Linked DNA regions of Coturnix japonica. The protein of the gene in region 2 interacts with the protein of the main gene of each other region in a biochemical or structural test. Links are inferred from orthologs where the notes say so. Each region holds a gene or a part of one and is shown on either strand. Other genes may lie near its edges.

Region 1 (4,216 bases), on a different chromosome or scaffold from region 2:
GTAGGGTACATACAACAGGAAAACTGAGCATGTATATGTTGCTGTCTTCTCTACAGCAGCTGCTCACTGTGTGCTCTCATCTTCATGCTAGGTACCGTCTGATCAAGGAGAGATGGCCCTGAAAATGGTCAGGATGGTGACCCAACAGAAGCAGTAGGGCAGGGGAGGCCAGCTGGTATGGCCTGCTGCTGAGTGCCAGCGTTTGTGTGGAGTGTGAGGAAAAGAACAAATAAGCTGCAGGAGGAACAACTGGTATTTGGACACAGCCCCTCTGAGCTTCCTGATGATGTGTAAAAGCATTTCTGAAAAGGCAAATTTCTCCTTGAATGAGCTCTAGCTTTTGAATTTCTAAGATGTGGTTTGGTGCCTTAATACTTTTCAGAATGACTCTTCCAAGATGATTCCTGTCTCATAAACAGCTGTAGGCTCTGCCTCTGTCTTGGAAGGGTCCTCTCCATTTTGTTTTCTTGTTTGTTTGAACATCAGGACTGAAACTGACGTCTGTTCTGGTGGATTAGCTGCTCGTTCCTAAGAGCAAACCTGCTGTATGAAGTTTTGGACTATTTCCTTTCCTTGTCTTTGGGTCTTTGTCCTTGAGTTCCCTGGCTGGATTAGAAGCTGCAGATTTGACAATGCCAGCGTAGCAGACCTACACAAGAGGGTGTGCAGCCCATCTCAGTGAGATGAGATGCCTGAATGAGGATGCACAGTTCCTCAGGCTTCCTGCACAGCCTCCCTCCAGGGGAGGACTTTAATCTCCTTCATCTGCCTGTTTCATTCACTTCTTAACGACCCAAATTTTGTCTTTAGCTTTAACACCTGAAGTGCATCCAGCAGCGATTCCTGCTTTCTGCTGTGAAGGAGGAGCCCTGCAACACCTTCTTCTTGTGCAGAAGAGAATCCCAATGGACTGAACCCTCTATGAGCTTCTGAGCATGGGTTGGAGAGTAGAAAGCAGGATGATATTAAAGCAATAGTAGTGTCATTCTGAACGTTTATAGCAATACCTAAAACAAGGATTTAATGAGAGCCAATATTTTCACTACTTTTTCTTGATCTCTTAAGTCTCATAGAGGCTTCCTGGTTTTGGAAGCAACGCTTTTCATATGGAATACTATCAAAAGGAGACTTGATCAGACATTGTTTGATTTTTACATTGGAGCATGAGGTGACTGCTCTGTATCGGTGTCTGGTAGGAAGCACAGCATCTTGTTCCAGCTGTCAGAATACCAAATAAACAGCAGCCACGTTCGGGTTGGTCTGTAGTCCTGACTGAAGGCAGCGCTGTGTTCTGTTCTGTTCTGGGTACGGTCCGATTTGTCTTAACAACCGGCAGCGGCCAAAGCTGCAGTTCCGGCTCTGGCCGCTGGGTGGCGCGAGCGGCCCTGCCATCATTCCCAGTCATCGCGCACCTGCCGGCCGCCGCTCAGCGACCCCTGGCCGCCGCCCGGCGCCCCTCCCTCCATCCCGGCTCTGCCCTATTGTTCTCCGTTCCCTCGCTCCCTCCCTCCGCCCGGGGCTCTCGTTCCTCCCCGTTCTCCTCCTTCCTTCCCTCCCTTCTCTTCTCCCGCTCCCTCCGTCCCCTCCCGCTCCCCGGAGCCGCCGTCACGCTCCCTCTGAAGGCGCGGTTGATGATGGCTGCAGCGGCCGTGCCGCCGGCCTCCAGCTAACGGCCGCGATGGAGCCGGCCGGCCTGCTGCGGTTCCTGAGGAAGCTCAAGGAGGTTTTCGACGTGTGCGACGAGGATGCGGACGGCTTCATCCGGGTGGAGCACTTCGTGGCCCTGGGGCTGCAGTTCGGACAAGGAGATGAGGTGAGCGGCGATACCTGCGCGGCCCAGGGCGGCTCGTCCCTCCCCGACCCCCCGGCAGCCCCATCCCGCTGCTCGGGGCCGCTCCGCCCCTCAGCGGGGCAGGGCAGGGCAGGGCCCCCTCCATGGGGTCCCGGTTCCCCCCGGTCCCTCCGAGCCCCCCAGCCCCGTCCGGAGCCGTTGTACCCCGGCACAGCTCCGCATTTCCTGCCCGGGTTTCGGTAAATCCCCTGTAAATGCGCGGAGCGGGACCGGGAGCCGACACAGCGGGTGTAGACACGGCTCGGTGCGAAACGGCTCCCAGTGTGCGATAAAGGGATGAAACCGCTTTAACTAAAGGACCTGGAGGGATGAAAAGCCGTAGACTCTTGTTTTATCCACCGAAAGAATAGGGGGTGGGGGTGGGGAGAGAGTAATAGCAGACAGCCGTGATCGCTGGGTTTATTTGTAAGTTGTACGCTTTTACATCAACTAGAGCCGTCTCTAAACCCTCGTTGCCGGGTGTGTTGTGTTAAATTGCTCCTCCCGCTGCTGTGTTCGTTTGGAGGCAGATCGCTGGCTCTCACAGCACGGGGGAAGGTCAGTCCCGGAACAGCTGGGATTGTAACGAGCCGTTTTGGTCTTGGAAGTAGATGGATGAGGTTGTGAGAGGCCACCGGGATCAGCAGGATGTGAAGGAGGACTCGGTGATGGTCCTGGGGTGTATTGGGTGGGGAATGTTTAAATGAAACAAAGAAAAGAGTGAAACTGGTGATCGCAGCAGAGATGGCAGCAGAAAAGCATCAGTTGTCAGTGATGGCATCTCACAGGGGAGGCTGCGGAGCCTAAAGAGACACGGCTGGAGCGCGCCTTGTTTAGCACACAGGATGTATTTACTGCCACTGACAGTCAGCTGTGTGTGTGGAGATGCTGCACAACACGCCTCGGCTCCTTTCACATTCAGAAGAAATCTTTCCATTTCTGTATCTCCAACTTCCCAGACCCTCAAAGTTTGCACTCTATACATTCTCAGTGCTTCACTGCAGCTCATGGCTCAGGCATTTAACCTCAGAGGTGTTTTCTTTCTCTCTCCTGATGACAGAAACTCGGAGTGTGAGACATTTTGGTTCAGGGCTTAAAAATAACAGGCTCAGGCCTTGCTTTCCTGATGAACATTCTGTTTGTGGAAGGACCTGCAGAAAGAGGCTGCTCCCAAAGCAGTGTGGCTGGGTGGCGTATGCACAAGTTGAAGCAACACTTGCCATAACACTGAAAAATGCCAGGAGCCTCTTGCCATCTGCTTCCCTTTCCCTGGGCAGACAGTGTCACTCGCAGCTGAGTGTCTGGGAGCTGTGGGTGATGCGTTCAGCCAGCCCCGGTTCTGGCAGTGGGTTGTGTGAATGTGTATTTCAGGGTAGTGCCAGCTGAGGTTCCGTTACGCCAGACTCTATTTAAGCTTTACATTCAGTTTTCTGCAACAAGTGAAACGTGCTGAAACTGTGGAGTGTTTCTTTTGGAGGGTTGGAGTCGTCTTTGGAGGTGTGCAAACGACGGATGCTGAGACGTGGGGAGATCAGCAAATGCTTATTGACTTGAGAGGGAAGCTGAGCAGCTCGTAAGGTCTGTTAGCCAACATCAATTATTCTGGTAGTTGGACAGTAATTGACTTGAAGTCAGTGGTTCTCTAGGAGTGTAGAACAGAAGTAGCTGAAAACAAGTTGACATTTTGTGTGGACAGATGAAACTTGCTGGCCGAAAGATGCTATTGAAATAAGGAGAGCTCAGTTGCCGTGTTTAGTTGCTTCCATTTGATGAGTATCACTGTCCTGGGCTGATAGTGGAGCAGTCAGCCTTGCATGGTGCCCAGCAGGCAGTGGCTGCTGGCTGTGTTTGCACTGACAGTCCTTACAGACATGCTCCATTCCGACTTACCAAAGCACCCAGAGCCCTGCCCTGAGCACAGCCGTGCCCACATCCATGAGCAAAAAGGCTTTGAGACATTAAAATGGGAGTGTTACAGAGTGATACCCCCGTTCTCTGAGCGAAGGCACAACGGAGTTATGACTTTTCTTCTCTGCTATTCCTGGAAGTAATTACTGAAAGCACAGCTCAGCTTGCTTAGATACCCCAGGATGCAGAGAGCTCTCCTGTGTGGCAGCGCTCTCTGAATAACAGCAAAGCTGCCATATACAGACTCCTTAAAAATCTGTTTTCTAATGACCCAGATACTTCATATCGCTTTGAATTACTTGGAAAATGTGTAGTTATGGAACAGTGCAGGCTTATGGATTGCTGTAGCTTTATTAACTCAATGCAGACTCTCGGAGCAATATGTTTGAAGTAGCCTTTTGGTGTTCACTGAGCATGGATTTGCAAACAGCTGACCCAGGGCTTGCTTAGCACTTGCTGTTAATCAAACATCTTCAT
Region 2 (3,632 bases):
ATGAGACAGGGAGCGGAGGCTGACTCCAGTTTACTTTAAGGATGCTTTATCCTGCTGTGAATGCTCACAGGGGATAAGATTAAAACACCAGTCTCTCATATTTGCCAAATAATACAAAGCAGCTTTGTGTGCACAAGAATTAGCCCTTGAAGTCTAGACATCTTACAACAGAGGAGCTTGGACAGGGACCATTATTCTAAGCCATAGAAGGAAAAGGTCCCCAAAACTCACCTAGTACAAACAACAGGAGAGGAAGTGTACTAGATTTAATGCCTTGCCCCCCCCACTGCCCTTCTCCAGCAAATCTATAACACAGCAAGACAAAAGGAAAGTTTTCTTCTTCTGCTACCATCTGTAACAACAGACCACACACTCACTTAAGACTGTGCTAACTATAATAGATCCATGTTTCCTACACCCAAAGCTATCGACCTAAGGTGGCTTCATCTGAGAATCTAGGTGTAGACCACTGTCCCAACCAGATCACCTTCCGTAGGGCAGGGAAACAAAGGAGTTTTGCTCCAGATCTCAGTCAAGACATCCCTGTCCAGGAAAGATCTAAGCAGCTGAGAGGCACTGACAGCAGCCTAAGATGTCTTTGCAGCACTCTTCCCAGCATGGAAGATATTAACTAAGCTGGTGCAGCAGCACGCCCTGCCCCTTCTGTCAGCCTCCTCCACACGATGCCTGTGGCAAAGCCTGTTGGCTTTATCAACTTTCTTCTTCAAATGACAGCAAGTATTCATCTAGGGTTACATTTGGAGGCAACCCAGCCACATACATACAGACTATCCATGATTCCACAGGGTCACTCTGAAAACCACATTCCTCAGATGACTGCTCACCTCTTTCCTTCAAAGCAAATCATTAACACAAATAGCCAGCTGTGAAGTGTTATCAAGAAGTTTATTGGCAGAACATTCATCCTTTGCATGCCAGTTACAGCAGAGATGGAGGCAAGCCTCTGCTAATGTATTATTTACTTCATCTTTATCTCCCTGAAACAGGAGTTGATGTCTGGAGCAAACCATGTGCCCACTAATCAACAGAAGTGTTTCTTCCAGCACAGCTGAACCAGCCCTTCCTCAAGAAGGATTCTGTCCGCATGCCCAAGAGTTCAAAACACTGTCACAGCAACACAGGGAGCCCTGACGTTTCTCAGAAAGCAACAGCCCCAACACTCTGTCAGAGTCCACTGAGGGCTAATCTTAATCATTTGCTCTCACATTACAGACTGCTATCCTCCAGAAATAAAACCAGGAAAAACAAACAAACAAAAAATACATATATTATATATATATGCATATCAAACCTCCACTAACTAGAATCCAAAATAACTTCTGGAATAAAAAAGTGCTGTTGGAAGCATACCAGGAGAGAGAAAAGAAACAGCCTAGTGCGTGCCCAACAGGTAAACTGCTTCTCCATAACAACAGCAGTATACTGTATCTGAGCATCACACAGACAGGCAGCAGCCCAGAGCACACCAGTCATCACTGCAATGGCACAGAGTGGTCCACGAAGGGGCTGAGGGCAGTTAGATCTCTCTCTCACCACCCCCCCACTGCAAGGGTACTCATAATATATTTCAAACAACCCAAGAAAATGCTCCAGAATGTATATTTATTAATTTTCTAGCTACCTCCCGCACTGCATGTTCCAATATGGCTAAAAAGTCCTTTATGATGCGTTTGTGTAAGAAAGTATCTATTACTTGCCAAGAAGAGAGAGAGAGAGAAAAAAAAAAAAAATCTAACTAGCTGCCAATGTCACAGAAGCGAGAAGTTACGCCTATCAGACAAAGGGGTTAAACAAAAAGGAAGTACCTCATCCACTGAGCATGAAAACAGCACCAGTCAGTGCTATCACGTGCTACAAAGGCCAGAAGTCCAGCCAGGTTTATTATATGCACTGACAGCAACCACCCTGCACTCAGGAGTCACTGCGTCCCAGACTACAGTACTGCTCACTTCTTGGCAGCTGTTATGCTCACTAATAGTGATGGAAACAAGGTAGATTGCGTTCTCCTCTGACAATAGCCATTTTGTGTGGAGGTGGGCATCAGACAATTCTCTCACACAGCCACTCCCTGTTCCACAAATGGGAAAGTGAAGCACATAAACCAGGCGGACTGGAAACCCAGGGCAGAGCAAAGTGAGTAAGACCAGACTCATTCCCAAGCCCTGTGCTGGTCTATCAACTATGACACTTCAAAAGCAGCGTCTGAATATTACAGCTGTGAGGAATGATTGAATTGCTAAATTTTACACACTTTATAGGCAAATAAATGCCTATTTGCTGCGTATCAGAGCAGCGTTCTGCCCTTCCTCCTCCAAACACAAAGTATTAGATGACTCACCTGTCAGAATAGTCTGGAAAGCTGCTTCCACATTTGTAGAGTCTAAAGCAGATGTCTCGATAAATGACAAACCATTCTTCTCTGTGTGGACAGAAATACTATAATTAGAGATGTATAACATTTATCTCCCATCCAAAAGAACTTTTGTACCAGACAACGTACGAGGTGTTGCTGATGAGATAGATGCATTAGTGCTAAAAAAAAAAGCATTAAAAGTTGTAGGGTTTTCCTCTTTATGATCTGAAACCATGCACAAAACACAAACCTAAACCCACCAGCAGAGCTTCTACAAGAAAAGCAATGCATAGGCACGGAACTAAGTCTGTTTTAAAACTGTTTTCAAGTGCCTCTGGCAGATTCTTGAGAGTCTATCAGCATACAGGCTCTATAGGACTTCAATTTTAACTGAATGAAAAAAGACATGCAGCAGTACGTGGCACTGAGTCTTTTCCCTCCTACCTGTACACTCACGTATTTCACATCAGGTAGGCAGAGTCTGGACAGTTTGAATTAGGAAATTCTTTTGAGTTCACCAACCTGCAAAAGCTCTGGCCTCATCTGTAGGGACTGCTCTCAGGTGGCGCAAGTCACTCTTGTTTCCCACAAGCATGATTACAATATTGCTGTCTGCGTGGTCTCTCAGCTCTTTCAACCATCTCTCGACATTCTCGTAAGTAAGGTGCTTAGCAATGTCATACACCAGTAATGCCCCTACAGCACCTCGATAGTACCTGTGGGTGAAGAGATGTGTTACAGAACCAGCAAGAAACATGATGGAAAGTGACAAGCTACTGAGTAATAACTGTTTCCCACTACTGCAAAGACAGTTATATTAAAAATAATAATAACACACAGCATGATACATGGGACTTGAAGCAGCTGAAATACAGCATCCAGACCAGGGTTAATCCGTGTGACCACAACAGCAGCCAGGGCAGCTCAGGGGCTGGTGGGTTACCCTGCACCTCAAAAATGAAGCACTGTATCTGTGGGGGATCTACTGTCACCTTCAGCCTCTGACCCACACCTGAAAGGCTCCCCACCCACCATTGTGGGTGCAGCACAGGCACAGCCCGGAGCAGCAGGAAGACTTTATAATGACTCACTGGATCATAAAAAAAAAAAAACCATCAACTTGATGTGTTCTCTTTATGAAATGCCCCATTTGGTTTCCTCTCAGACCAGGGAGAGGCACAGTTACACATTCAAAAAGAAAGAGGTTGTGCTTTCCCACCCCACAATTACCTCCAGCTTTATTCAAATCGAGCTTTAG

What was found.
Region 1: the proteins of RAB11A (region 2) and RAB11FIP4 form a complex in vitro, tested with the Homo sapiens proteins (2 studies listed by BioGRID, with this or other methods). The link is inferred for Coturnix japonica from reciprocal best matches to the Homo sapiens genes RAB11A and RAB11FIP4.

The regions. Positions count from the first base shown.
Region 1 is NC_029533.1:7,736,094-7,740,309, reverse strand, and holds the start of RAB11FIP4 (rab11 family-interacting protein 4), read left to right. Parts: upstream 1-1,412; 5' UTR 1,413-1,678; coding exon 1,679-1,813; intron 1,814-4,216. Other genes in the region: SCPEP1 (retinoid-inducible serine carboxypeptidase), read left to right, coding at 92-157. UniProt on the Homo sapiens protein: Acts as a regulator of endocytic traffic by participating in membrane delivery. Required for the abscission step in cytokinesis, possibly by acting as an 'address tag' delivering recycling endosome membranes to the cleavage furrow during late cytokinesis.
Region 2 is NC_029525.1:16,456,718-16,460,349, reverse strand, and holds part of RAB11A (ras-related protein Rab-11A), read right to left. Parts: intron 3,091-3,632; coding exon 2,897-3,090; intron 2,441-2,896; coding exon 2,360-2,440; intron 1-2,359. UniProt on the Homo sapiens protein: The small GTPases Rab are key regulators of intracellular membrane trafficking, from the formation of transport vesicles to their fusion with membranes.